Linked DNA regions of Oreochromis niloticus. Each later gene encodes a partner of the first gene's protein in a complex. Links are inferred from orthologs where the notes say so. Each region holds a gene or a part of one and is shown in the gene's direction. Other genes may lie near its edges. The genes, in order: pigf, pigg and pigo.

Region 1 (10,189 bases):
TGTGCTGCCATGTTTGTGTTAGAGAAAAGAGGCTTTCTTCTGGTCTTGTGTGAATTTGCAGGCACATTCATTCCTGGGAAGATTGAATGTTTTCCACTTTATAATAATTTTTAATCACTGTAGAATGATCAAACCATAAACAGACTGATGAACATCAACAAATGCTTCTCTAAGGTCATTGCTGACGTCTTTCTTCCTTGGCATCATGTTAAAATACACCTGAATGCTCCAGACAGGCAAACTGCTAAAACCTATGCTTTTATAGAGATGCTCACACTTGTTGATGATCAAACCAAAACTAAATGGATTTGATTATCAGTACCTGAATGCTACCTACCCTCTTAATTCCCTAGTTTTTTACAGGATTGCAGGATTGTAGTAAAGGAATAAATTATGCAGAACTGACATTTTTCTTTGTGCTTCTGTGCTTTTGCACAGGAAAGATGAGCGAGGTTATTGGTAATGTCAGCCATGTGCTAACTGTCTAATTTTACTTATACTGCACGGTGTTTGGCCAAAAAAAAGTTGTTTAGCCCGTGCAACAGGGACAGTGATTGATTAATGTACTGTGATCCACTCTCAGATCCTGTTTAGGTAGCTGTTTGGGGAGTTTATTTCCCACTTCCAATATGAAGAGAAAGGTTATACAAGCCAGGAAGCACTGGATCTCAGTTAACCGTTCTCATAGAGCAATGATTGATATCAGCTAAGTGGGTAAAAATCTTTATTCTTTCCTTTCATGTTTTTTTCTGTAATTACTAGTAACGGATGCTAATAAGATGCTTTCTTGAGAGTAGCTTTACATTAAAAGTTATAGCCTTATAGTTATAGCCTTCATCAAGTCCTCAGTGCTTAGGCTCAGTGGAGTTCACCTTACAATAACAACACATTTGCTCTGTGTGATTAGCACATCATAGCTGCAGATCTCAGGCCATCTATCAGTGTTTTCCTAACCACTTATCCAACTGTCATAGCGTGAGAGACACGGTACAGCAAACACAGCCAACACAGAGAGACAACTTTTCACTCTCAAATCCACATCTACAACTGATTTATAGTCAACCTAACAAGCATGTTATCATACTGTGGAAGACACATCAGCTCCCAGAAGAAGTTTGAACCCAGAACCTTCTTGTAGTGTGGTGACAGTGCTAACCACTGTACCACACTAATCTCAGGGCAAACCCGGTATTTCCTTGTTTCTCACTTCAGCAGCACTTATATAAACAATTAATGGTTAAAGAGTGTCATCTAGTGGTAAGAATTTAGTTGAAGTTTACTTTAAGAGTTAAATTCTAAAAATTGGACTAAAATGAGAACTTTTAAAGTTCATAGAGTCACATTATAACATGTATAAATGTTTAAAACATATTCAACCATTTAAAAAAGTTTACTTGCTAATCTCATGATACATCAGTGCAGTTCTTTATATGTCTGCTATGCCCTCCGATTGTTTGGCCACTTCATGAAAGACAGCTGCTCTCGCCTGTCTTTGTTGCAGTTCTCCCACACCTGACTGCCAGAGCCGTACGGGATTATGCTTGTTTGTAAAATCCATGTAATTAGCTCCAGCAGCAAGTGCCCCTTTGCATTTAGTCACCAAGCTAAGAGATGCATGTTGATTCAGGATTACTTATAGTGATCTTGGGAGTTGAACTGTGGCAAACCTGTGGGACCTGCTCTGTTCTGTTGTGTTTGGTTAAACTTGTCTGTATGTTAGCAGAAGCTTTTGTGGCCAGGCAGGGAGCGTAGGCTTTGTATTTGTGCTTTGACATGTAACTTGGTGCTTCTTTTCTTTTTTAGCAATAAAAATAAGTAGTTTTTTTTCTGTTTACTTTATTATTGTAAATTGATTGTAAATAAATGCCTTGTTTGTTCGACAATCTTGTATGAATGTTTGTGATTTGGTCTGCTGGTATGTTATGTTGTACTCCATGCCCTCCATAAACTGCAGATAAAAGCCCTTTAGATATGCAAGTCAGAGATGATTGTAGGCTTATATTCTTGAGTTACTATCACTGGTTTTAAAGAAAAGAAAAGAAAAGAAAAGAAAAGAAAAGAAAAGAAAATTGGATATCAGGTCATCTCCAAAGTACATGTATGTACATTGTGAATAATAGTAATAGTAATTTTGGACTTTAAATTATTTCTTTCAACTGTTCCTTTTCCAAGGGAATAATTGTACAGAACACATCTTGAATGACTTTAAAAAAACAAACAAAAAAACAAAAACAAGAATTGGGTGCACAGGTTTGGATTTTCTATAATCCACACAGGGTCAAAAGTATACATACAGGATCAAAAATATACACACACTATCATAAGTTTTTCATTAAATGGTGCTGAATGTTCTACAATGTATTTTAACCTGACAAGGCCAAAACTTCTTAACTCCTCCTCAGTGATCATGATTGACTACAACTGGTAGTTTCGCTTTGCTAACACAAAAATAATTTGTTTTACAACACTCATTGGAGTCATCAATACTCAGAACAATAGGAAAGTCAAAAGAACTCGGTGAAGATCTAAAAAGCAGAACTGTAGATTTACAAAATTAGGTACTTTTCTTGGAGCAATTTTAAACAACTGTGGACTCCAAAATCGTCAGTTCAAACAACTGTATGTAAATACAAACTACTTACATGTGCTACCACTTTGCCAAGGTTTGAATGAGGACGGAAACGAGGAATCACCAAGGCACAAGATTGGTCATGAACTAGAAACTTTTCGAACACCATCGTTCATTTGAAGTGACTTTTATACTGCAAAGGACTGGTGGTAGCATAATGCTGCCAGTGATACTGGTAGACTGCATAAGGTGGATGGAATCAAATAAGGAGCCAGAACTATGCCACAAACCATATTCTTATTTTTCTTTTGTTTGTTTTAAGTCATTCAAGCAGCCCTTGCACACTGGTGACATTATGCCATTGAACTGAAACAAATCCAGATTTTACTCTGTTCACCTGTTGTATTCCGGGCTCCATCCTTCCAGGTGTCAGGAGTGATGACCTTACCGAGCTTCTTCTCACCTGGAGATAAAAAGCAACGCAGCATATGTAACAAAAGCAACGCAGTGGATTTAAAGGAAATAAGCCTAGAAGGTGAAGGTATGTTTTCCTGAACCAAAACAACAGTGAGGACAGTAATAACAACAGTTAGCATCACATAGCGTTAGCCAGCTTTCTAAGGATCATCGAGCTTCTCTTAACGGGAAAAAAGACATTAGAATTGAAGATCTAAAATAAATTAAGTGATAGGAGAATGGCGAGATACCTACACTTTTCACAAACCATTGTCCTTCTTTGTTTGTTAAAATAGAAGCAGAAGCGTTAGCTGCGTTTAGCTTTCTCTGTTAATGTAAACTTCCGGTCGTTACTTCCGTTTCCTTGCAGCTCGCAAACGATTGATTGGTTAAAGCCTAGATTTCAAATCTCAGATGCCATTGGTTAGCTTTACTGCGCTTCGGCGAGGGTCCAAGTAACCCGTTCTGTGATTGGTTGCAGTTTCCCCTGTTCATCTGTAAAGTGGACGAAAACCTGTAAGTTTTCTTTAAAAATTAAAAGTTTGCTGCTGCATTATTTCACACGTGTGAATATAACGTGTGAAATATAACGTATGAAATACGTGTGAAATAATTAAATCCAATAAATAATAATAAAAAACTTTTAAAGCTTACAAACAGTAGGCGACTATAGCAGTCAGGCAGAGATAGTTTAAAGAACACTGAAGAATCTCATTTTTCTATTTCCCGTCAGAATAACGTTATAGCAGTGAAAGTAGAAAAAGAATGGCCCTCACTGATAAATAGTGGTTCACATCTAGCTACATGTGACAGTGTTCACATGTTCTGATTAAATAGGGAAACTGATTAAATAAAGGATTATGTTCAAACAAGTATACCACAAACATACAATTTGTTTTCAACAAAAAAAAAATCTGTGGTAAAAGTGGCTTAAAACAAAATCCACAATAATAATAAAATGAACGGTGGTTTATGGATGTAGTAAAGGAGGATAGGGTGGAGAGGGTTGGTGTGACAGATGAGCAGGGTAGTGGTAGGATGAGATGGAGGCAGATGATCCACAGACCCATAAAGGGAGCAGCTGAGAGATCTGAAAATGGATTAGAAAATGTTCTACACAAATATAAAAACACAAAAGTCTCAATGACTCCTTTGTCACTTTGGATTGAATTACACTGGACCAATTGCATTGGCCCAGGTCTCACATGTGAAAGATGAGAAAAGCCCATCTCCCACCAACCATTCTCACCACCTACTACAGAGGGAGTATCGAGAGCATCCTGAGCAGCTGCATGACTGTCTGGTATGGAAACTGCACCGTGTTAGATCGCAAGACCATACAGCGTAAAGTGAGAACAGCTGAGAAGATCACTGGAGCCTGTCTTCCCTCCAACACAGACACTTATTGAATCAACTGCATCCACAAACCCACCAGCATTGTGGAGGACCCCACACACCCCTCACACACACTCTTCACCCTCCTGCTTTCTGGTAAGACATACCGAAGCACTCACGCCCTCAGTGCCAGACTACAAAACAGTTTCTTCCTCCAAGCTGTCAGACTCCTGAATACTCAGAGACAAGACTGACACACCCACACACCTTTATACATTCCATTACCTCAAGTACTTATTGCACAATGCTAAAGTCTTTTTGTAAAACTATTGCACCATCTTGTGTCTGTATGGTTCTGCTCTATCTGGTGTCGCACTGTTTTTTGCCATTTTTGCACACTTGCACTTTAATTAGTCCTGTGTTGATTTACTGTTATATGTAGCACCATGGTCTTGGATGAAAGCTTTTTCGTTTCACTGTGGCAGCAACAAATGTATACTAAATGCATGGCTGTCTGTAATATATTTAAAGTTGTTAAAACTATAATGTACTTTTATTGAACTTTGTCTTGCCTCATCTACAAGGAATAAGTATTGTACTTTTATTTTGAAGTGAAAGCGGAAGTGAGCATGGTTCCATGTTTACGGAAACAAGGTCAAGCGATTCATCTATGGATGTTACCTGTGCTACAAATCCAGCGTTACGTTGAGGTTTAAAGTGTTTTGTGTTCAATTTGTCGGTGTCCTGTTGTAGTTCGCTACAGCCTTCACAATGTGGGACCATGAAATCAGAGCCATGGCGTCCACTCACGCTATCATCGCCGCTTCGGTGTTCATGGCGACGGTGCTACCTGCTGTGCTCGTACCGGGCTTCTCGGTGTACGGCACACACCTGCTGTGGCTCTACTCGGTGTCCGCTGCGGTCACCGCGGTCAGCGTGGCCGTGTTCTGGCTGCTCGGGATCACACCGCCCGCCAAGAAGCACACGCTGGGATACAAGGTGCTGATAACGCTTTAATAATGATGGAGTGATGTGTGCAGTGCCACATGGGCTGTTTTATTTTTTTTAAAAGTGCAATCAATGCAGTTTTTAAAAGAGGGTTTCATTTGTTAAGGGGGGAAAGCGATCCAAACCGACCTGGCCCTATGTGAAACACTAATTGCCCCATTCAAATTTTGTCTTGCTAGTCCACAGAATATTTTCCCAAAATTCTAAGGGGATCAATAAGATGCTGTTTGGCAAATATGAGACAAGCTTTTGTTTTAAATTTGGTCAGCAGTGGTTTTGTCCTTGGAACTCTTCCATGGATGCCATTTTTGCCCAGTCTTTGTGTGTGGTTTGTGGATTGTGGTGTAATGTGTTGCTCTTAGACTACTCCACTTTGTCAGACAGACTCTGTTCAAGTGATATTTTAATTCAACACGTCTGGCAGTAATCAGGCCAGGGTATGGCAAGTAAAATTAAAGTTGCCTTTCCAAAAAAAGAAAAACATCTTGACTTATTTGTATATAAATTAATGTGAATACTTGACTCTTGCATGTTCATCAAACCAAGATCTTTTTTCCCAGGAAGTGATCTTTTTATATCTGGATCTTAAAGGTTTGACTGTTTTCTCGCTGTTTTTTTTCTGCAGCTGTCGAGGTTGCTTCGCTCCTGCCTGTACTTCTTCCTGTCGTGCCTGTTCTTCCACACTGTTGTTGTCTTATACGGAGCTCCACTGATCGAGTGAGTTGTTGTTTTTGCTCGTGTTTACATGTATGTGTTTAACAGAGGTTGATAAAGAGAGACGCAGAGAGCAGAGATCGCCACAGTAATACACAATAAACTAAGGATCCATGGAAGGATCACACATAAATGAATGAAAACAGCAGGCAACTACAGAAATCTTCAAACCCTGAAATGATTCTGTCACTTATAAAAAGTCAAGTGAACTGAATTTCCCAGAGGAACCCACCCGAGGGATTAATAAAGTTTCATCTAATCTAATCTAAAGTGTTTTACTTTGTCTCTGCTTGCTTTTTTATGTGCTTTTTTTTTTTTAAACAAAAAACAAAACTGTCAATAACGCTCTTATTGTAGTTGTCGTTGATACCGTGAACCTATCATTTCTTACAGATCTGCCTTAGAAACATTCTCCCTTGCTGTGCTGCTGACTTCGTTAACCACGCTGAGGTGTCTCTGTGTCCTCGGCCCCAACGTCCAGGCCTGGATACGAGTCTTCAGTCGCCACGGGTAAGGCTGAAATCATTTTCCTTCTTTTTCTTTCCTCCTGGCTTTTCACATGACTCTGTGTTGAAGATAGTAACTGTTCTTGCTTTTTCTTTGTCTCTGGCTCCAGAGCTATGTCTGTGTGGGACACCTGTCTGCAGATCACTGTGGCCTGCACACTTGTTGGAGCCTGGGTCGGAGCATTCCCCATACCTCTGGACTGGGATAGGCCCTGGCAGGTAATTCTATGCATGGACAAAGCGTATACTCTTGGATTTGTATCCTCACATTAGGTCTTATACAGTCTAGCATGTGACTTTTTTATGTTTAGGCTCCTTTTTCATTAAATTACATGCTGCAGTTTAATAAACGGGTTCCTGATATTTCCTCTACACACATTCATTTCATTTAGATAAAAATAACCCAAGAACTGGCTCAGTCAGTAGTCTGGCTGTGGCACTTTGTAAGCAAATTAGCTGGCAATGAAGGTACATTCAGTACTTTTTCTTTCCCCAAGTGTCGACGCAGCAGATGGATCTACGTGTTTAATTTGGCACAGAGTTTGTGCCAGATGCCCTTCCTGACACAACCTTCACATTTATCTGAGCTTGTGACCCCGAGGCTGGGTTTGTGTCTTCTGGTCTGAAACCAGGGATCTTTTCCATCCCTGGTTTAATTTGTTAACCACTAAAGCACGGAGAATCAAATGTCAATTTTAAATTTTTTTTGCAAATAAAATGAATATTTCTTGCTTTGGAAGAGAGAGTCTGACTAAATCTCTAATCCACTGTATGTAGAAATGTTCTCTATCCACAGTGGAGTTTTTGCTCTTAAGACAGGGAACTAACACGACCATTTAAACCATATTACCCGCGAAGCCTCTCTTAGATTTTTCTGAGGTTTTCTCAAATGACTGCTGGATTCACAAAGGCCTCTTAACTGCATGGACTTGTAAATTACTGGTTTCATTTTGATGAATGGAGGAGGTGGATGTCCTTGTGTTTTCATTATTCCGTTAAAAATACCTTTAAAATGACCTTAAATGGGTACTTTTCTGCTTTGTTAGTTGGTGAGTAGCAAAAGTGTTGTAGAAGGGGAGAAAAGGAAGAGAAAACAGTAAAAAAATTGGAATACACGTGTATTAATAGCAGCAACATCAGGCTGATGTGCTGTAGTGACAGAAGTAAAGATTGTCTTTCAAAAGCAGGAATGAAATGATAGGTTGCTATGGTGATATATAACACAAGTGTGCCAGAGGATGATACTGGGCACTAACCTGCATGAAGCCGGTGTGGTAGCTGTCAGAGTGAAAAAGCTGGTGTAAATTACACATTTTTTTTTTGTAGTTGATTTAAGTTGTTAACTTCCAAATTCTCCATCACGATGATTTTTTTTTTTTAAGCACTGGACAGAGTAATCAGCCAATGAATAATGAATTAGATTGTTTTTTTAATGGAAAATGGAACACATTAAAGTTATAATTGCACAGGGAATTCTGTGTAAAATGACTGAAGGAAAATGCAGAGGTAATTGGGGTGTAACTCAAATTGACAGACTAATAGTTCAGCTTCTCTTTGATGTATCGGACCAGTGTCAGGCTTTTAGTGAACAATCATGCTCACTTTTCTACTACTTCTGTGTTTTTGTAGGTCTGGCCTGTTTCCTGCAGTTTTGGCTCTTTGTTCGGCTACTTGACCGGGCTTGTTGCAGCTCCAGCGTGGATCCATTATCACCGCAAACAGCTCACATACAAGTGCAAGTGATAGTCAGACACACGTGTATTATGCCTGTGCTTGTGCGAATGTATCCACGATGGTGTGACTCCTCATCCTGCTGAATTTCTCTCACTTTTTATTATTTATTTGGGAGCATTCACCCCCTTTGCAGCCTGTAGGGTTGGCAGTTTTGTAACAGCTCAGAGGTATTATTTTGTACACGTGATGGCTGAAACTGAATATTTTTAAATGTAATAAAATATTTTCTTCGGTAACGATGTGTATTTACTTGTGAAATTGGGCGATTAAAGCTATTCGACGTCAGTGATGTGTCGCTGAAAAACCTGCAGGTGGTGCTGTTGGTTCGCCACCTGTGTGTGTTTATGTGAAGGTGAGTAGAGTTTTAATGAAAACAAGAGACTGAGGCTCATTTGCAGTGAAATACAAAGTAATCAGTATTGTGGTTGGGCGGCCATTTATTGAGTCATGAGAGGAAGTTAGAAAATTAAAGAGAAAATGTAAACCTGCTGCAGAGTTGGCTTCCATTCTCACACACACACACTGACGCTATTCTGCACCTGAAGCCGACTGCTGATGAATACTGTTCCTTTTTAAACGACCATTAATCTCGCTCCAACTCTATTTCAACACCCTCCCCGCCGCCCCAGCTCCCATTCCACCTTTTTCACATCCTTGGGCAATCATATTGATTCACTTTCATTTCGAGGACATTAATTTTCCTCCTTTCACGCCGCACCACATCTCTTAGTCCTCCCTTGCACCCAGTCACCGCAATGAAACTTACATTTTCCAGACCGGAATGTCAAATTGAAAAGTAAATGAGTGATGTTGCTTGCAGATCGTCTGAACGCTTGGTATACATAAATAATCATGGCTATGATTTAAAAAAAAAAAAAAAGAGGAAGAAATTGTCGGTTATCTTTGCTGTTTGAGCATTTTGTGCTGGAAAGTTTCAGTACAAAATCAGAGGCAAAGCTGCCCAATCGCCCTGTGCTTGAACTCCTTCCTTGTTGCCAGGGAAAAAACAGCCTGAAGGAAACAGATGAAAGATGGAGCAGAGGAAAGTCTTTGAAAGTCTACATATGCTTACAGCATCAATCAATGGCCTAATCTTTCCCTTCTTCTCTTTGATGAAACCCAATCCGACCTCATGCTGTTAACTCTATTACCCTTGTGCTCCATGCTTTTCTTTTTCTTGTCTTTTTTTTTTTTTAATTTTACACTTCACTTCTGATGCGTCATTACATGTGGAGAGCAGGGGAGCTGGAGAGGAGGGCTCGGGAAGAGCATAAGGTATGATCAAACAGGTATTACACTGACCTTGTGCTTTGTATTAAAAAGCTAAGTCTTAAAAAAAGCTAAGATTAGATATGTTTTTGAGTCCTTTAAGGGTTCTTTTGCAGGTGTAGTCTATTTACTCTGATGACTGAAATCTGGTTGAAGTTGGTTTGCTTGTGCGCTCAGTCACCTGTGGTTTTTTCAATCTGTGAGACACGCACAAGGCCCTTCATTCACGCGCACACACACAAAAGCTGCTGCTTCACAAATTGTTCCCCACATTCGATCTCAGAGAACTTTATTTATTCATTATTTGTTCTCAGGCAGCTCTATTGTAGCGGGGCATTGTGAGGAGAGGTAATTTGTCACTCCCTGCCCGTCCTCTCTCCTCAGCCTTTTTCTGCAGGGCAGCTGTGGTATGCATGTATTTGCAGAACTGTTATGTTTCTGCTTTGTTGAAAGAGAGTAGCAGACTGAAACAAGTCGGGTCCTCTGCTCTCTCTCTGGTGGATAGTGCTACCCCAAATCCAGCCTGCCAGAATGAGTATTTTTAAGATTCCTCATGCTGCTGACAGCACACTGAATTAAAACACATCTCTACATGCCG
Region 2 (10,657 bases), on another chromosome or scaffold:
AATTGTGGGAGAACAATTTTTTTTAACTCTTTACAAACTGGTCTGATGACAAAGAGGACCAATAATACTGTAAACTGGAGAATGAATTTTCGTCTGTGTTTATGAAAAACGTATTTTCCGATGAAACTTGACATTTTCAGGTGTTTTTGTCTCCATGCAGCCTTCCTCTGTTTCAGAAATAACCAATAAAGTTATAGTTGGTGTATCAATAACATGTCAGACTAACGGTTTGTGTTCTTATAGAATCGCAGGGCGGTCCAGAAGAACATGGTGTACATAGATGACCAGCGTGTCATGATGAAATATCTCTTCCCTTTAAATGAAATTGTGGTGGATTTCTATGACCTCCTCAAATCACTCTCATCTGGATACGCCAGGTAAAGCCAGTGTTATGTAAATACACTGTGTAATGGATTTTTATAGATTTTGTAGGTTTCATCTGCAGTATTTCGGTATTAAGAGTTATAGAAAGAAAGTGTAGATTATTGAAAGTATCCATTGTTACATTGTATCCAATGTTAAAAGTTTTAAAAAAAGTTTCACACATTAGGTTATTAATTCATTTTAATTTTGATGTAAAATTATTTTCCATGCACTCTAATGGCGTAGCCTCTCCTGTGCACCTTATGTATTTTTATGTTGTGCAGCTTTGATTATGAGAATGCAGGTTACCAGGCTGCTGATTTGATAAAGATGGATATTCTGCTGAATGGACGCCCAGTAGAAGAGCTGACCACAGTTGTACACAGGTACATTTCAGATAATGCTTTGACGTAAAAATTGAGACTTTTGTGTTAATTTTCACTGAATAATTTACTTTTTTTGGCCAGGACATGTGACTGGATGTTACTTAAGAGCACCTTGTTATTTATTTTTTTGGTCATATTCTTACCTTCATTGTTATTGTTACTGGCAAGGTTACAGTATATAGTCCTTCATTACTATAGTAATTACTCTTTGCCTGTGGAGCATGAAATGTATTCAGCACTATGGTTAACATTTAAGAAAAAAAGGTCTTTTGGCAGCTGCTGTTAACATGACTTTACACACTGGACAAGGACAAAGGAGTAACTTTACAGAAGAAAAGTGATGACGCTCAGCAAGATCTGTGTTTAATGTACTCACTAGCAAAGGCGGTACAGGAGCCAGCACAGACGTAGGTAATTGAAGGGCGCTACGCTTCGCCAATGATGGCTACTCTCAGACAATTTATACAGTAAGCCTTGGAGCTCAGCCGACTCGAGCGAAGCTTCGGTCTGTTCTTTAAGGCCAACGCACCAATCACAGAGCAGAATGTCTTTTATTGGAGGCGTGTTCTCTACACCTTTTCAAGTAGAGAAGTCATTAACATATCTTACAGTTTGAAAACAGATGTATAGAAAATGTACGATCCAGTTTCTCCAAAGAGATGGGTGATAAAGTTCATGCTTCATTTGAGAGGATGGAGCTAACTGACCCTAGTTCATTTTATCAAATCACGAGAAAACTGAAAGCTTTTTCATTTTTACACGGGCTTAACATATCTTACTAATAAACAAACAAGTAAATATATATTATTAATAAGTATTTTTATCTAAGGAGCTTCTGAACTTCTTGAAGTTTCTTGAAGACGTTTCACCTCTCATCCGAGAAGCTTCTTCAGTTCTAAAGGTAATTGGTGGAGAGTCCCAGATTTTTAAACCCTACTGGGAGTGTCCTTAAGAGGGTCGTTGACCCACTATTGATCATCTGCCTAATCACATGACCCAGGGTGTGAAAACTGATGTGGACCACTATAAGGGTGAACCCATTGTGAGACCTTGCCCCACCCTATCATGTGACTTATGTAAGTGGGGGTTAAGGCGTCTAGGAAGGGATCTCAAAAGGGTTAGGGTGGGCCAGGCTCTCACAGTGGGTTCACCTGAAACCTTGGCTGATAGATGAAATGTCTTCAAAAGACTTCAAGAAGTCCAGTCGCTTTTCTTTTAAAGCTCCTTAGATAACCATGACCTGGATGACTGAGAACCTTCACAGACATTATATTTTTATATAATACTAATATAAAGCATAATTTTAAAACTTTGGACAGAGCTATGCAAGCTCTTTGGAGTATCTTCTTAGTAGCGCTGTTTTAAATTAGGCAAATATCACGTTTGATTGTTGTGTGAAAAAGGAAAAAAAAACAAGGTATGGACACATAACTGAAGCTTTTGAGTATGCATGCTTCCAGTTAGTGTTATTTACATGTTCAAAAACAGTCTGAAAGAGTTTGCACAACATAATTATTCTAAATAAGATAATTGTGTAAGAAAATAAATCAGACAAATGTTATGACTTTTAACTGTTTCCTTTCAATCGCTCAGCTGATGTCTGTCTCTGTGATGTGAGCTAAAGCATTCAGAAGTCTCTCCTTGCACCAGCACTGGTGTGTCAACAGAAAACAGAAAACTTCACCTACTTCAAACAGCTTAGAGCCCAGACGATATCAGCTGTTTGCTGATAAATTGGTATCTGCATTTATAACAACCTGTATAAGCAAAGTTAAAAAGTGAAGCGGAGATGAGAGAAACACCCTTCATTCATGTTAGGACTGTTGGTGTTACACAGTTTATACACCAGAGGGCACTCTGCAACTTCCCTGTCGGCAACATGTTTCTAAAGCCATAAAAACAACCAAACTTTAAATTGCGTTGTCATATTATCTTAGTAGGGACTCATAAATAACTACACATATCAACTGTTCAAGAAATCAGTTTGTTTTGTGAAAGAAAAAAATATCAGCTTCATATACTGGATTTTTAAATCACCAAATATTATATTGGTCAGGACAGTGTTTAGTGAAACTTCAAGTGTCAAACTGACTTTGGTGAAAATCCAGCTTTGCATTCTGCAGTGTTTAGAGGACAGACCCACCAATAATGCTGCTTTTTCCACAGTCTGTTTTTAAGCTAGGACTCTAGATTTAAGGACAAATGTTTAAATTTCAAAGTACCGTGAGTCCTCTGGCTTCAACCACGGTTTGATTTTGTGCTGACCTCCCAAACAGAACGCTTATTGATTAATTGTAAATGACACACGGGCATGTCAGTATTCACTACTGTATTTTAAGGTGACGTGGTGAGGGTAGTCGACTTTATGCTCCACTCTCATTTGCTTTTTCATCAGCTTTACCTGTCAGGGTGAAGCTGATATATGGGCACCCGTCAGTACTTTAACAGTTTTATGATTTGTTCTGATAAGTGTGTTTTCATTACAGGGAGCGTGCGTACAGTACAGGGAAAGCCATGTGTGAGCGACTAAAGGACTCCATCCCAAGGCAGATGTTTGAGATTGCCATACAGGCAGCTATTGGAAGTAAAGTCATTGCAAGAGAAACGTAAGTACAAGAGCTAAGATTTTGTTAAAATGATGTGTAGAAATCAAAAGTAAAGTACTGTATTTAATATGTGGTATGACCACACGTGCCTCTTCCAGAATAAAGGCGTATAGAAAAAACGTTCTCGCAAAATGTGTAAGTAAAGCTTGTTTTTTCTTTCTTCTTAGAAAAGTCCAAATATACCACTGATGCCTTAAAATCATTTTTTTTGTCTTGGTAGTATGGAGGTGACATTACACGGAAGATGAAGCTCCTGAAGAAACAGGCAGAAGGTAAAAAGAAGATGAGGCGGATCGGCAATGTGGAAGTTCCCAAAGATGCCTTTATTAGTGTTCTGAAGAGGAAAGAAAAATAGACTGTGACACTACGTATGAAACAACATGGAGCAGGTTTTTGTTATTGAAAGGCTCTGTTACCTTTTCTTTGAATAAAGTTCTGCAAACTGGAGTGAAAATCCTTATTTGTACATGTGTCACAAGTTATTGGCTCTTTTCTCTCAGACAACACCAACATTACAAACCATTCTTTCATCATTACACCTTCATGTTCATGACCATTATAGTTATAACTTATAGTTATACTTGTAACATTTACATAAATGCAGTGAAACCAATCAGGAGAATGACTAGATGTTTGAAATGTCAAAACCCCACACTGGTTCAACAGGAAGTAAAACGAGGAGCTCACATAGTACAGTTCTGTACAACATCTACCTGCTATATTGTTCAGTATGCGCCCTGATCAAATTATAGAATTATATAGAAATGTAACTGGGAGCCGCAATGAGGAGGCCAAGCAGTTCAGCAGGGCACGGTCGCCATGGCAACTCAATTCAAGTATGTCAAAGGGACTTAGGGGAAAAATACACTTTTGCTTTCTGTTACACCTGAAAATGACGCATTATCTTTGGTGCCATCACGTACAGCAGTTACTAATGTTTTTTTGTTTTGTTTTTTTTCAAGTATCACACAGTATCGAGGAAGGCACTGACACTCGGCGTTTTAAAGAAAAAAAACATATAGATGCCATTTCCATCCTTCATTATCCTAATGTGGAACTTCCCAGACTAGAAACTATCAGACTGCTTTCGCTGGCTGTTTGGCTTTAGTTAGTAGTAAATGCAGACAGCCACTGTCCTATTGTAGTCCTAGACGACACTTTTACGTGACAATGAAAATGCTTTGATAGCTGGGATCACTAATACTTCAGGAATGACACCTTTTCCAAAAAGGCAATGACTCAATTTTAAAATATTTTCTGGTATAACTAGATAAGTACTAGTTTTCACAGATTTGATTGGTAATAAACATCAGTGACTTTAACCACCTTCACTGTTTCTAAGCTTTAGTTAGAGAAAAAAACAAATCGTCCGCAATCATGAAATCACATTTCACAACTTTACTTGGCCAGAAAATTGTTCAGTAAATTGGTAGATTGGTAGAAGACATGAAGTAGTACCTCCACAATTATATAAGCATTCTGATTTTTAGAGTTACACGGTGAATAACATGATTGCTTGTCCTTCTTTCATAAAAGATTTATGTAAATTATTTTTGTTTGACAGGATATTGTTTTGGTCATTGAAAGAATGGCTTTCATCAGATGTGTTAGGATTAGGATTCAACTTTATTGTCATTACATATGTATAAATACGGGTAATGAAATACAGTTTGCTGTACAGACGGGCAGATATACAGATGTACTATGAACAAATATACTGATGTGGTCTGACGCTGATGAAGCCTGATTGGACATTTTCATCAGTTAACAGTGCTTCAATGCAAGCATAACTCAAATCAAACCATCTTTGTTTAGGAAAACAACCTGCACTTTAAATTTACCCCATGGTCCTATCAATATTATTTAGAACCTAGTCCTTCATACTTACTACGTCTTTATTTGTTGTTTTTTAGACCTTTTCAGATGAAAAAAAGGGAAGAAGTACAATTTATATTCCGCATCATTCATGCTGCGTTTCTAGGGGAAAACTAACTTCATTGTTGTCTATCCTGTTTTTCCAGTAGATGGCAGCAGGAGCTCAAGCACACCGTAAGGTGGAAGTTAATTCCGTCCCCAGCTAATTTCCAATCAGGCTTCATCAGCGTCAGACCACATCAGTGTCACATTTAAATTGTGCAAAAGATTCAACACTGTCCCCAGCAGTTCATTTCCCCGATGAAAGTATCTCATTGCCTCTAAGTGCTGTCCTTTGTACTTAGGCAATGTAAGCAAATCCAATTCAGGGACCAGCTGGCATTTTGCTGCAGTAAAGAGGAGGAGGACAAACGCTCACAAAGTGTACTTCAGCGCGTGTAGTGGATTCAAGAGAGGAACACTTCTTATTAATCTGCGTGGACTGTTACAGATTATAGGCTTGTTTTTCCTTCACATTTTGTCAGCATAGCAGGGAGAGCACATACGACTCTGACGGATGACTAATGAGCCCATTAATCAGGAACGTAGGGAATGAATGGCCATAGGTTTGCCAACAGGCAGTTTTTATGTGGCTGTCAGACAAGTAATAGCTTTCAACTGCTTCTGCTGTTGAGATGGAAGCTATTGAGAACAGTACTACAGTATAATTGCAAACATTCAGATGGAAAACTTTCGTTATAATTAAACAGAAAGTCATAGTGTGTGTGTGTGTATAAAACTGTAATATTCAATTCAATTTTAAAGTACCAAAACACATCAGCAGTTGCCTCGGGGTGCTTTATATAGTAAGGTGAAGACCTTACAATAACAGTGTCACTCTGACAAGCAAGCGTCGTAGGAAACGCGATTTGGTGTTGTTAGGCTCCAAGTCCCACCCGTAGTTTCATGCTATCAATGCGGAAGCAGCTATGAATGAACACAGTGCTAACTGCTGGTAGTGTTTTTATTGTAAAATACGCCCACATATACACCACGCAACTACAGGTCATTGACACGTAGCTTTTTAATATTTTGATTCACAGCGCTTCCACCTGAAATGGGATACCATGACTTTTTCTGCTCTTTTTTATTTAAGTAAACAGAGTAGAGAGCGTTATATTGGTTGCTAGCTAGCAAGTTATCCCTGTAGCCTAACTTACTGTTTTCCTAAAGTGTCCGTCGGCCAACACCATGAAGGTCCGCTCGTCTGTTTTTGCCTCCTTTATTTTAATATTCGAAGTGATTGGCATTGCACTTTTCCTGCGGGGATTTTTCCCCGTACCTGTCAAGTCTTCTTTCTCATCCAAGAGCAAGCTGTCAGATCTGCCAGCCGAGCCGCTGACAGGTGAGTCCAGCCTCATCCACATCTGCTCACACTCCTCTCTTCTGCCTGTACTGTTGACTTAAATCTGTTAAAACTCATAAGCTTTCTTTTAACCTCACAGGAAGCGCTCCTAATTCATCGCGCCTCCCGCAGCCCCTGTTTAAAAGGGTGGTTATTATGTTAGTGGATGCCCTCCGAGAGGACTTTGTGTTTGGACCCAATGGTCGTATGTATATGCCCTACACAAGGCACGTGGTGGAAAGAGGCTCATCACACAGCTTTGTGGCCAAGGCGAGACCACCTACAGTAACTATGCCCAGGATCAAGGTAGGATGCCACTAGCATGATGTTGAAATGAGAGCTCACCCATCAAATCTGTCCACTGTCTGTCATCATGGCGTGTGTCTGTTAGAATTCTGGATTAGCGTTTGCTGTAGTGAGTCAACCACTTGGATCCAAACTGTCAGCATTTCTCAAATCCTTTCCAACTCCACAAATAAATCTGCATCTCTGAAACTCTACATTAGCACTTTATTATGTAGTGAAAACATGCAGCGGATGATGCCAGGAATATTCAGTTGTTCATACCTAACCTAACCTTGTAACATTGTAGTTCTTCTTTAAATACACACGAATTTCTCTGCTTTCTCTATGGTGCTGAAGGCATGTAATATTTTCCATTGCAGGCATGAAACCCAGGCTCAGTATTAATGCTCAGTTTACTGTCCATTTTGTCCGCTTTGCAACTCAAATGCAGATTTAAACAACATCCCTAAATCTCATCTGTTTTGGTGCTTTATAGAAATCTGTTGATTCACACTAACGAGAAAATTGGGCGTTTATGTGAACAGACAGTTAAAAAAAGTGCGAGAAATCAAGACAGGAAACATAATAAAACAGTATGGAGGAAGAATAAAATATAACACTTTAAAATGCTTGTGGATAGTATAAGTCTTGATTAAAAGAAAATAGCTAGACAATTGGAAGCGAGCAAAAACCATAGAAAACATAAATGTCTTCAAATCTTTCTGATAAATTCGGTGGATGGAGAGCATTTGATTGCGTACTATTACTCATAGTGAAACAATTGTTTGGCAATATCTAAGAGCTCAGATGAGAAAATCACTGCAATGAAAGAGAAAAAAAATCCAGATCTCCAGCATCCATGGAATAGTGCCAAGAAATTCTACAGTGTGTGACATCTAGCAATGATAGAAGTCATTTTTAATAAAAGATAAGAACATTTAATATATGATATGATACCTGATAATGGAATATATTTAAATCAAAAAGGTTAAAGCCTGCACCTTTCCATTTAGTATTTTGTCTTAAAAAATATTTTATTGTAATTCTGAACATTTTCTGGTTCATGCTGTTATAGGAAACTATAAATAATAACCAAAATGCAATAATAAAAGTTATTATTTTTATTCTTGTTATTATTATTAGTGGTAGCAGTAGTATTCATTTTAAAGACTTGTGTTTAAATTCCTAAGGAAGCCAGGCTTTAATTTGTTTGTACACAGGATTCGCATTTGTTCCTAAAGTATGAACAAATTCAGGTATGAAAATGTTGATAAATGATGGATTTGTGTGTGAAATGCTCGTACGCATGATATACACACAGATTTGTGCGTATTCACTTTTGGTATTAATATCCTTAAGGGAGCGAATGGACTTAAGTTAGGAAAATTCCTTCAGCTTGAAAAAACAACTTAGCACCACCCAGTAAGGTGGTGCTACGTTTTTAACTTCTGTCTTATTTGCACTTAATTCAGATGAAATTCCTGGAGACAGCTAAGGATGGAACTTATGCAGGTTGACTACTAATGATTAAACTACTATATTTGTTTTATGTTAGCATAACAGTGAAATGAGATATTGCGCTCATGAAAAATTTTGCCTAAAGTGAACATGTAAATAAACAAAAAAGCTCCTAAAGATGACTCCTGAGGTACACCACCAGTGATTGGGGTGGAGATGAAGAAAAGCTCCAAATCTTCACCCAAAAGGATCTTAATCACTGTTTTAGATATGGATGAACGTCTTGAGAAGGTTGATTCTGGTGCCAACCTGATTTATTAGGGCGGTTTAAAAGAGTTCTGTGATTGAGGTGTGCAAAGATCTGGTAATACAACAATATATACATAGTGCAATTACCCAAAAGCACCTTTAAGAATTGCAGATTCTTAATAATTTGATTGTAGACAAACGTGAAACTGGTGAAGACCAGGATTGTAATTTTGACTTGTACTGAGAAGGATTTAAATCATTCCATGATCAGAGGTGTTTAAGCTAGAAATGGCAGTACTTCTGTGAGCCCAGAATAAGCTTGTAAAAAGAACCTGTGAGGAACATTTTGAATTAGCCTCTAAGTTTTCAGCCCGTGTCTGAAAATAGGGTTAGATGGCTGAAAGCGTGAAAACATGGTGTGTTGTCACATTTGGATGATGTGTCATGTTGCTGAGAGTATTTTGGGAGCGGAGCCAGGAGGGAGTTGGAGTCATGTCATGTGCACCTTTCATGACAGTCTGCTGTGCTGTAACACGTTAACATCGCAGACAGACAGAGAGCACACCACCAATTAAAGCCTACCTGGAGCCCTTGCTGATACTTTTTAGGGAATATATCTGATATTGATATCATCAGCCAATAGCATTATATGTACATTTACAAAAGAGAGATGGAGTCATTGTTTATTAGTAAATCCCCCCTGCTCGTCTGTGATCGGTACTCAGCTACATGTGCTGCAAACAGGAGCTGTGTGACGGGCTAACCATTTCAAAATCTGCAATCGTATAAAAGGTGTTTATATTGGTGCAAAATGGACAACGTAAAAACCTTTACCTGTATGTTTGTGATATACAGCTTGATATTTCAGTCAGGCGCTGTTGTCAGTGGTATTGAAGAGATTTTGCAAAGGGAATGATTTTCGGGGAAAAAGAGCAGCCCTCTTTTGTCCATGGGTGTCGGGTAGTGCTGAGCTTGGGGGAAGGCATCTAACTGAAATTGTCAGGTGAAGCAGAATATGTGTGCCTGAGTGTCAGAGGGCAAAATTAAAAGCAGAGCCTGTGCCTTAGAGGAAGCGGTCTGCGGTGGGAGGATCGAGGATGTGCTGACAGCATCGAGTTGTTTTAACAGAAGGAGACTGCTATACAAACTCAGACCTGGAGAAACGTGCTGCTGAAGGTTCACAGTATGGACACAGTTCTCCTCTGTAGCGTCTGGCATGGGAGGCGTGAGAGTGCTGACTCGGCAATCTTCAGATTAGTGAGGGTGACAGAAAGCATGTGTTGGTTAGGCAGTGGACACGATGAGAGGTTGAGGCACAAAAAAGTAACTCTGGTGGAGAATGGAGGGTAGAGAAAGAGTCTTTTTTTTTTAAAGTCAACATTTACATGTTCTGTATTTATTAAACATAAAGGGAAATACTTCAATTCTTTTTTTGTTTGGACTTTGATGATTGTGGCTTATAGCTCATTAAAATCAGGAATTCATTATCTCAGATTATTTTAGTATTGTAATCAATTTAGTAATCAATGAATGATTTATAATAAAGAAATGTCCAACTTCTCGAAAAGCAAGTTTATTTATACACTCGACACTGGTTGGGCCTCCGTTAACACAAACTATTGCATGGGTGTGTTATGACATGGAGGCTGAGGTGTTACTGAAGCACAGGTTGCTTTGATAAAAGTCTTCAGCTTGTCTGTATTTTTGGGTCGGGTGTTTCTCATCTCCTACTTTACAGTACTCAATGGATTCTCCGTGGGCTTCAGGTCAGATGAATTGGTTTGCCCGTCAAGCTCAGTAATAACATGGTCAGCAAACTGTTTGGTCAGTTGCTAAGTCCTGGTGGAAAAAGAAATCAGCATCTCTGTAAAGCTTGTCAGCAGACTGAAGCATGAAGTGCTCTACAATCTCCTGGTAGATGACTGTGCTGACTTTGGACTTGATAAAACACAGTGGACTAACCACCACCAACACCAGCAGAGGACATGTCATCCCAAATCATCAAAGACTGCACAAGTTTCCACTGGACTTCAAAGACCATGGATTCTGTG
Region 3 (10,350 bases), on another chromosome or scaffold:
TATACTTTAATGTACGATATTGTAAAGGAAACAAGACATCAGTCAAAAAATTGTTCTCTTTTTAATTCGGGCTACCAAAAACTGAAGCGTGCCTTCCCAAAGGGCTACCAGGGATTTTGAAATTGTGTGTGTGTGTGTGTGTGTGTGTGTGTGTGTGTGTGTGTGTGTGTGTGTGTGTGTGTGTGTGTGTGTGTGTGTGTGCAACTTTTTTTGATATTTGATATTTTCTGATATTTGCTTATCAAGTTGCACCTATTGCACCTGCATATTTTCTTACTTTCTTTTGGTAATTATTTATTCTTCCTACTGTTTCACTTGTTGTTTGGTAGCATGATGCAATGCCAAGACCTAAGTAACTGTGTTTCATTCATATCATGTCAAATTGTTGAATGACAATAAAACTGAGTCTGATATTTGACCACTCTGCTTGGCAGAATTGGGAGAGTTAATTTAAACTGGTTGGTTTCCTGACGTGGACTCAGCTTTTGTGCTTCATTCCTAAATTTTCAATAGGATTAAGACTGGGGCTATATAAAAGCCGCTCCAGAAATGTAATGTCAGCCTGTTTTATCCACTCCATAACCAGATTTGATGTGTGTTTTTCATTGTCTTCATTGACCAAATTGGTCACACTCTAGAGCCCTGTAAGACATCTGACTATCTTGTATTTTTGTACACTTGTTTGATGATCTTAGATTCTGCAGCTGTTTAGAAATGGCTTCAAGTTATCTTTCTAACTTGTGTAAATGTACAATTCTCCTTAGATCTTCACTGAATTCCTTGAACTTTCACATTGGTCTGAGTATTGGCCACTTCAGTGAGTGCTGTCAAATCATTTTAATGCTGGCAAATGGAAACTACCAGTTGTAGTCAGTCATGATGGCAGTCTTGGCCTTGTCAAGTTAAAACACATTGTAGAACCTTCAGCACCACTTATGAACACAATTAAGTGATTGTATGTTTATATTTGAGCCCGTATGTATACATACAATCCTACTTCAATTCTCATTTGTTTAAAGTAATTAAAGATGTATGCTGTACAATCATTCCACTTCAAAGAAATCATTAAAAGCCCAAACATTACCATGTCATTCATACCATGAACATTTTAGTGCATTTTATTTTGATAGACTACAAAAGAAACTTGCCTTTAAGCAACAATACTATAACTCATTTTGCTTTATTATTGGAACTATGTCATTAAAATTGAAAACATTATTCACTGCTGGCACACCCTAACATTTTCCCTTTTGTTATCTATAGGGTTTGAACTTCCTCATACCCATACTTGACAGAATTCGCTATGTTCAAAGTCTCAAAGAAATTGTGATTGATGTCCCAGAGCAGTCTGCAGTATCCCTAGGTAAGTAAAACATTGTTTATTTCTCATTATTCACAGGTGGACGAGCAGGCTTATTTTTTTAAACAGTATTGATTGTTTTCTTCATATTTTTATACTTTCTTTGAACTTGCAGATAATGTAACACTGCAGATTGATGGCGTGCTTTACTTAAGGATACTAGACCCTTTTAAGGTATGCTGGCAACAATTAGAACAGATCCAAATATCTTCTTTCTTGTTTTTTTTAAATTCACTTTATACTTTTGTTTGTTCACAGGCCAGCTATGGTGTTGAGGATCCAGAGTATGCTGTCACACAGTTGGCACAGACCACCATGCGTTCAGAACTGGGCAAACTCACATTGGACAAAGTGTTCCGAGTAAAGACAAACTGCTGTTTCATCTCATATCTTTTCTCTGTTCATGAAGGGACAAGTTGTATTTTATCTTTGCATTTGTTTTTAAGGAAAGGGAGTCTCTGAATTCCAACATCGTCCATTCCATTAACCAAGCTTCAGACGAGTGGGGAATCCGTTGCCTTCGTTATGAAATCAAAGATATACACGTTCCACCTCGTGTCAAAGAGTCCATGCAGATGCAGGTGAGAGAAACAAAAGAGCTTTTTGGAGCACAATTTTTAGTTTTTAATTCACTGCACGATCTTATGGTACAAATGGGTATTACATGAAAGTACAGCTTAGCCATCCAAGTACAGTTCATATCTTCAACAGAAAGCATAGACTTTTTGTAGTCGAATAACTTGTTTTCTTATATTGTGTTGGTTAGTTTGGTTAAGTTTAAGAGGTTTTACACTGATTCCTAAAAACTAGAGTTCATAGTACCTTAAAGAAATTATAGGTCTTTTCAGACAAGGTCAGAAACATTTTTTGCATATAGCGGTAGATATTTCAACTGTGGGGACAAGACTAAATCACTTAAATTTACTGAAGAGAACACTTTATTCACCCCATGTAGGTGGAAGCTGAGCGTAAAAAGAGAGCCACGGTGCTGGAGTCTGAGGGGACAAGAGAATCAGCCATTAATGTCGCCGAGGGTCGTAAACAAGCTCAGATCTTAGCCTCGGAGGGTGAAAAAGCAGAACAGATCAATAAAGCGGCTGGTAGGTGCATTTAGTTGGTTTATCACTCCAATTTCCACAAATTATCTCACATCTTTTTGCTTTTAGAGGCTAATATGCTCCCTGTTACCAACTACTCTGCTCCCTCCAGGTGAGGCCCAAGCAGTTCTAGCCAAAGCTGAGGCCAAAGCCAAGGCCATCCGTATGTTGTCAGAGGCTTTGACAGAGCAGGTAATGTTCTTTTCCATTTTCACAGTCTGACTTTCAAAAGAGTTTTCATTTAATCATGTTTTTTTTTTCCTTTTAAATTCAGAATGGAAATGCTGCCGCTTCACTAAGTGTAGCCGAGCAGTATGTGTCTGCTTTCTCAAACCTCGCTAAAGAGTCAAACACCATCCTTCTGCCCACTAACACTGGTGACATTAGTGGAATGGTTTCACAGGTATGTCTACTATCCAATAGTCCCAACTATTGGATTTATATGTTAACAGCTTCTAAATTATTAAGTTTACATGCCCCTAATGATGCTTATCTTGTCTTCTTGCCACTCAGGCTATGACTATTTACAGCACGCTGGCAAAGCCAAGCATGAGGGTAACTCCAGAGGTTGTGGAGGAGAACCGTGAAGAGGCTACGAACCAGTCGGGATCACCTCAAGAACAGAGAATTAATGAATGAACTCAAACTAATAAATGACACAGAACCAGAAGAAGCAGTTTATGTTGAAGGTCCACAGTTTGTTCTCACACAGACCTTAAAGAGACAGGACAAAAGGGAAAAATTGCCAACTTTAAAACTCTTCCGAAGCCTTGTCCTGGAGCCTGGGGGAAAAGTTACACCTTTTGTATGGGGATTGGTAATCTTCACTGTGTATGGTTTAATTAGTGTATGTTTGAGAAAGTAACACCAGCCTCCAGCCAAATACACAGATACCAGAGTCTATCCAGCTGACATGGATGTCAGCACAGACATGGATGCAAAAATAAGTCTCCCCTGAGCTATTTTATATTTTAATATGTTGAGCCCTTTTGACCTCTCTACCTGAGGTTTTTGTCATTGTTTTCTCACTTTGCAGCCTATTTTCCATGTTTTCCCAAATGACTATATTCAGGTTCTCTGAGATTATTAATAATTATATAATAATCAAAGCCAGCTCAGGTGAAAATATATACGTAGGTATTATTTACAGAAATAGGTGACAATTCTCCCTCTACTCTTTGTGTTGATGGGACCACCGACTTTAAGTTGCTGCATGTGATGTCTGGCTGGATTCCTCACAATGTTTCTAAAAGTGTATTAATTTCCCAGTTTACTACGTTTTTGGAAACATTACCCTATCGATAATAAAGCTGTATCCCCATGAAAAGGTTACATTAGAATTTCCTTTAGGAAAAAAAAAAAAAACTTTTTGAAATGATTAAGAGAGAATTTTTTTTGTCAAAGACTAGGTAATGTCCCGTGTCAGCTCGATGATCAAAATATTCCTCTCCTCCGAGTATTTGTATTCATATCTGATGTCTTATCGCCAGATATATTTATTAAATTTCAAGATTCACTGCAAAGACGAAGTTTGTTTTGTTATTTCTGTTTTCTACAAAATAATGGAATATGAACTGGGCAACTGGGCATGTTCAGTCTGAGAAGATTTGAAAAGATGTGGTTAGATGAAATATTAGGACAAAAATGTTCAAAATATGCAAACATGTTTAAAACTGTCAAATGGCTATAAAAATAAAAATAACACACCCATGCTGATTTAACAAAATCTGTAAAAGTAAATACTTTCGCCTATCTTGTTACCTGATAAACAAGATAGACAAACATGGAAAGCGCTGTTGGTTTATTAGCCCTCTACCTTGCCTTGCAGGCATAAACGTGTATTTACATGAACTGTGGGCAGTGACTTGCACTTGCCTCTCAGCAAAAAAAGATGAGCGGTCACCTGGGGCCTTCCTATGTGGATTGTGCGTGTTTTTTCCTGTACCTGGTTCTGTCTTAGGTCCTCTCACAGTCCGAAAACATCTGTTAGGTTAACTGCAGATTCTGAATTGGCTGTAGAGTATGAAGACTTATGTCTTTGTGAATTCTTGAGATGGTCATTTTCACCACTACCATCTTGGTGTTTTGAAGCCAGATGTAATGAGTGGTCTGAATGTGAAACCAAACGCTCGTTGATTAAATATTTGTCACGGAAAAGTTGGTAGCCAATGAGCTTGCCCTGGCTAATTTTTCACTCAACCCTTAGAAGATCAAAATTTATTAAATGGACTCAGTGTTTCACTGTTTCAAGATCTAAAGGCCATTTTCACAGCCACAGCCTTTGATTGTCTTTTTACAATCACAGGTTGTGGCTATTAAAAACAAAGGAGGCTTAACAAACTTGGCCACTGGATTCACTTTCTGCAACTGTAGCAGTCCAGGGTGCAACTTGCTTTTTTCCCAGTGACAGCTGGGATTGCCTTTAGTACCCCTAGCTACCCTAAATTGTATCAGTTAAGTCTAATTTGATTTTACGTTAATAAACCAACCAACAAAAAAAAACAAAAAAACAATATTGTAGTAGACAAAGATATGAAATATCATTAAATTAAAATGTTTGTGACCATTATTGATATTTTATAATAACTTTTACTAAACCTATTTCTAATCCATTCTTATTTAAGGGTGATTTCTCTGCAGAATTTCTGACGTGTTTAGCAATTTTCAGAGAAGCGCTAAAGCCGTTGTTCCCTGTAAGTCACAGAGCGGGGCAAAGCAAACGTATTCATGGTGTTACACAGAAAAGCGCCCGCCGTGTTCCTTCCACGCTAAGGTTCCTATCTACCACCAGTCATCTAATCTCATTGTACCAGAGTCCCAATGAAGGTGAGCGTGTTGCTCCGCTCTCTGTTTACCTGAGGCACCTGTGCTCCTGTGTTGTTAATACACACAGTCACCCCCAACGTCCGGCCGGGAGAGGACGAAAACTAGCTGCCACAAGGTCAGTGACAAAAGGCGAAGCGTGCTAGCTTCTGCTAACAGCGTTAACTTAACCGTCATTCATGTTAGCCACCTGTGCGGCTCAACTGCAAAAGAGGTTTTAGTTGGAGCTTAAAATTTCAGTCACCTTACACGTTATCTTCTTCTATAACAGGTGTAGCTCACAGGCAGCTGTTCCGCTCATTTTTTTGTGTGTTTGTTACCTCTATGTAAACCAAATGTTACTGTATTTCACCTGACCTGCTCTTACCTGTGCATGTAGGATGAAGGGGCTGCCTGTGCTGTCCCTGCTTTTCTGGATGTGTGCGGTGTTCTTCGTGGGCATCTACCTGTTCGTGGGTGGATTTTTGCTGGTCAGGTTGGAGGTTAACAGAACCAGCACCTGCGGAGACGTGCTCGAGCCCGGAGAGGAGCCGGTGGACTTCTGTCGAGCTCAGCCGCGCTTCCGCAAGGTTGTCCTTCTCATTATCGACGCCCTGAAGATCGACTTCGCCCGGTATGACCCCGACAAGACGGCACCACGACCTTATGAGAATAAGTTACCTGTGCTGGAAGAGACGGTGTCATCCAGGCCTTTACAAAGCCGCCTGTACCCCTTCCGTGCTGACCCACCTACGACCACCATGCAGAGGATAAAGGGGTTCACGACTGGATCTTTGCCGACGTTTGTAGATGTAGGTAACAACTTTGCATCCAGTGCCATCTTGGAGGACAATCTTATTCACCAGTTTGGACAAGTAGGTGAGTTATTACAAGTGTCTGTAAATTATAAAAATATAATACATTCATGTAAAGAGCTTTATGGGAAACATACAGATGAGGACAACGTTGGGATGTAGGGATTTTCAGCAAAGCATTTGCTAAACAATAGCCTCCCAGAAAGCAGACCTCTTTATTGAGCCACAAACCACTGCTATGGTCAATGACAGGAGACCATCAAATCTGGAGGAGCTCGAGAGATTTGTCAAAGAAGAATCAGTTGGGTTTGCTCAGAAGACTTGTGAGCTTTGCTGAAAACTACAACAAAAGACCACAGGCTGTTATCTTGCAAAAAGGATAAATAATCAATTATTAGCATCAGGAGGCTAATAATTTTGACCCTAATAGTGTTTGGTTTTGTTTCTGTGGGTAAAGTAAAGTAATATAAGCATCAATAATTCTCTGTTCATCTGTAGACATGCTCTTTTCTGCCTGGCAATACCACAAATCTAGGACTTTTAAAACCAGAAAACCAACTGTGCCATCTGATTTTGCTCATATAAATCTTTCTGTCTCTCAATAGGCAAACGTGTGGTGTTTATGGGTGACGACACTTGGGAGAGTCTTTTTCCTAAGAAGTTTTACCGCTCTCTGCCCTTCCCTTCTTTTAATGTCAAGGATCTCCACACTGTGGATAATGGGATTCTCCAGCACCTCTACAACACTAGTATGTAGTTACTTAATATGCATTTATTGTGCAATTAAAACCTACATTTAACAAATAGCCTCTGTTGCCAGGAAACTGTGCAAAATCAAAATAATTTTGCACCAACACTTGTTTATGCGGTTGATGTATTTGTGTTTCATCTCCTTTTGTTTGTCTCTTGCTGTTGGTTTTAATAGTGGTGGGCGATGACTGGGATGTCCTAGTGGCTCATTTCCTTGGAGTCGATCACTGTGGTCACAGGTTTGGCCCGGATCACCCAGCCATGGCTGACAAACTCACGCAGATGGATGGAGTCATCAGGTCAGGCAGTAGTACAGATGCTACATGCTTGTTTCACGCCATTATCCAGATGCAGCTGGATCATCAGCTGTTGCCACAGTGCACTTGTAGTGCTGTAGATATGTCATGATACCAGCACTATTATTGTAATATGTTGGCCCAGATCAAGCAGTTGAACATTAGAAAGCACCTGGCATGACCTGTGAAAACTCTGCTTTTCCTCTAGGTCTGTGATTGACCGTCTGCAGAATGACACACTCTTGGTGGTGATGGGAGATCACGGAATGACAGATACTGGAGATCATGGTGGAGAAAGTCAGAAAGAGACTGATGCTGCCATCTTCCTCTACAGTCCTTCTCCCATGTTTCATGGACCCCCATCACAGGTGGGTAGAATGCACCTTTTGAAACAATCCTACTGACATGCTGTGACTAATTCTTATTTAAAATAAACCAATTCTACATCACTTGAGTTTGTATAAAATATAAAAAATTAACAGTGAAGACATACTGTCATAATCAAAACAAATCACTAGTGTACGTTAACAAAGAAATTGTTAAATGACAGTTTTGGCCCAAGTGTATACAATATCCATCAATTCATTTTGTGCTGCTTTTCTGGGTAGCAAGAACAGCAATCCAAGCAGAGATGACTAGGCCTGATTCTCTAGCTCTCCTGGTGAGACACAGAGTTGTTCCAGAGCCAGCTCAGAGACTCACAATCTTCATTGTGCCCTGGGCCTAATCTGGGGTCGCCTCCCAGTAGGACACCTAACCAAGGAAGCTACCAGGAGGCATCATAGTTAGATGCCTGCACAGTCTCACCTGGCTCCTTCTGGTGTCAGGAAGTAGAAGCTTTATGCTGAGCCCATCCTAAATGACAGAGGTCTTCAACCCTATCTCCAAGACACCCTTTTGAGAAAGCTCATTTCTGCCTCTTGTAGTCTTGATGTAATTTTTGTGGTCACTACCCAGGGCTTGTTCCCATAGATGACTGTGGGATCCATGAGTAAATTCAGGGTTCAGCCCCCTGTTTATGACAACAGACTGGTACAGCATCTGCATTGCTGTGGACACTGCACCAATCTGTACAATGTCTGCTCCTCTCTCGCCTCCACATGAGGCACTAGATCATTCCCACTGATATACATAGTGTAGTGACCAGTGCTTATATCAGTAATTTAACTATGTAAAAGAACCGCTGAAAACTGCTGTAAAAGTCAGTTTAATTCAGAGTGAGAGTTGAGCACAGAACAAGAAGTTATGAGAGCACACTCATCATATTGTATCCCAGTAATGGGCAGTCACATGTTTAGTGGTAGAAACATTTCACTCTTGTTGCTTTTCAGACCAACACCATCAGTTCAGTCCACAAATGAGTTAAAAAGGAAGAACAAAGTCAAGTCAAATATATAACTAACACAACTGTTTTCAGTTACTTGTGTGTTTGTCTTTATCCTGTCTGCAAAGGCACATTTACGACATGTCGATCTCTCAGAATAACTGCTGTAATAAAAACATGAAGCATTAAACCACTGATGCATGCCCATTTCTGTTCATGCTTGGCTGTGCAGTTCCCAGAATCCATTAAATTGATGCTGGCAGGTGGTCTCCGCCTTTTTTTCATAGATAAAAGTGGATCTCGCACTAGAAAAGAGAGCTCAAGTACCGATTTCCATAATTGCAGCCTAACTGGAGAGCTATATCATATGCCGTGAAAAGTCATTAGATGCAAGAGAGAAATTACACTGCTATTTAAAAAAAGGCAGAACTTAGTAGACACTTTTTTTTTTCTTCCCCCCCCCCCCCCAGGCATTTTTGCCACTGCTAGGAAGTATTGCTGTTATCAAGCACAACCCTGATTTAAGAAAGGCTACAAGATAAAATATCACTCACTGAGTTTAACTGACAACCCAGCCTTGGAACAGCTAGTTATTTTGCTATGTGCTAAAAATATTTACTTCAAAATATCACAGATGATTATAAGGGTCAAAGCACAATTTAGATCACGAGAACACAGAATAATGTAATGTGACACATTTTTATTTTTCCCCCTGTGTATTTCCCAGAATGAACCAGATGTGGTGCCACAGACTGACCTGGTGCCCACCCTGGCTCTGCTACTAGGAGTTCCTATTCCGTATAGTAATGTTGGGCAGGTTCTCTTGCCTTTATTTCCACCGCATGAGCAGACAGAAGGTGCAGTTGGAGGTCTCAGCCAGCTGGAGGCACTGTGGATCAACACAAAACAGGTATGCTGCTCAGCAAAGAACTGTCTAGAACACTTTTTGAGCATCTGTACACAGAAAAATCTTTTTATATATTCACATATCCTGGAGCCTTTTCAGGAGTTGTTGTTTTTATGGTTTGTGTGTTAAATTTTATCTCTGTTTCTGAAGGTCAACCGTTTCCTGGAGACTTACTCTGGCATGGCCAAAGACATCCCACCAGAGAGCCTCTCTCGGCTGAAGAGTGAATTTGCCCTCTTGTCTTCTGAGTTTCTCAGCGCTGTTAGAGAGGGTCGTTCACCCTCCCCGCAGCTAGCCTCTTCTCTGCAGGCTTACCTCACCTCTGTCAGAGACACCTGCCGAGCCACCTGGGCCCGATTTAACCCACTGAAGATGGCGGCAGGTTTAGCCATCCTGGCATTTGCTTGTCTGATGTGTTTCATCTTGTCTGAACTGTCTCTAGTGCTGATCAGGGAGAACGGTGCATTACTGAAGACTCCAGTTGTTGTGTCACTGACAGTGGGGGTTAGTGTGGCTGCTGCTCAGCTACTCATACGGGGCTACATTGAGGTGATGTGGTGCCTTGCAGCTGCTGCTTTCAGCTCTGAACTCCTTTTCCTTTGGCGTTCACGCCAACTGAGCACCTCTACAGTGTCAAAAAACGGAACCAAAGCTCCAAAGCGTGTTAGCTGGCTGACCCTGCGTCATCTCCTAGTCCCCTCTCTCTTGTTTCCACTCCTTCGCTGTGCCTCTCTGCTCTCAGACAGCTATGTGATTGCAGAAGGCCGGGTTGTGACATTTTTGGTGTTATCCCTGGCCCTATGCATTCCCATCCATCTCAACTGGGATGGCCTACTTCTGCCCCCAAGCCATGACCCGTTGAAGTCTGCTGGGCTGCTGCCTGCCCCAGCTTTGTCTCCATCAGCTGTGAGGAAGGAAAGCGGCACCCTTCTAGCCTGCTTAGGACTACTTGTTGGCAGCCTCTACCTCTCCCTCTCGTTCCACGGCTGTCGGGAAGAG

Evidence for each region.
Region 2: pigf (region 1) and pigg share a complex: the UniProt entries of both Homo sapiens proteins name them as parts of the ethanolamine phosphate transferase 2 complex. The link is inferred for Oreochromis niloticus from reciprocal best matches to the Homo sapiens genes PIGF and PIGG.
Region 3: pigf (region 1) and pigo share a complex: the UniProt entries of both Homo sapiens proteins name them as parts of the ethanolamine phosphate transferase 3 complex. The link is inferred for Oreochromis niloticus from reciprocal best matches to the Homo sapiens genes PIGF and PIGO.

Annotation. Positions count from the first base shown.
Region 1 is NC_031973.2:10,622,135-10,632,323, reverse strand, and holds pigf (phosphatidylinositol-glycan biosynthesis class F protein), read left to right. Parts: upstream 1-4,973; 5' UTR 4,974-5,131; coding exon 5,132-5,359; intron 5,360-5,993; coding exon 5,994-6,085; intron 6,086-6,475; coding exon 6,476-6,592; intron 6,593-6,698; coding exon 6,699-6,807; intron 6,808-8,217; coding exon 8,218-8,331; 3' UTR 8,332-8,558; downstream 8,559-10,189. Other genes in the region: cript (cysteine-rich PDZ-binding protein), read right to left, coding at 2,967-3,032, 3,281-3,296.
Region 2 is NC_031966.2:32,764,594-32,775,250, reverse strand, and holds the start of pigg (GPI ethanolamine phosphate transferase 2), read left to right. Parts: upstream 1-6,159; 5' UTR 6,160-6,460; coding exon 6,461-6,614; intron 6,615-6,714; coding exon 6,715-6,920; intron 6,921-10,657. Other genes in the region: guf1 (translation factor Guf1, mitochondrial), read left to right, coding at 244-377, 648-749, 3,236-3,355, 3,454-3,490, 3,576-3,710.
Region 3 is NC_031972.2:28,372,302-28,382,651, forward strand, and holds the start of pigo (GPI ethanolamine phosphate transferase 3), read left to right. Parts: upstream 1-6,020; coding exon 6,021-6,138; intron 6,139-6,679; coding exon 6,680-6,823; intron 6,824-6,999; coding exon 7,000-7,123; intron 7,124-7,328; coding exon 7,329-7,488; intron 7,489-9,171; coding exon 9,172-9,354; intron 9,355-9,501; coding exon 9,502-10,350. Other genes in the region: stoml2 (stomatin-like protein 2, mitochondrial), read left to right, coding at 1,264-1,363, 1,476-1,534, 1,619-1,720, 1,807-1,941, 2,316-2,460, 2,570-2,649, 2,732-2,860, 2,971-3,096.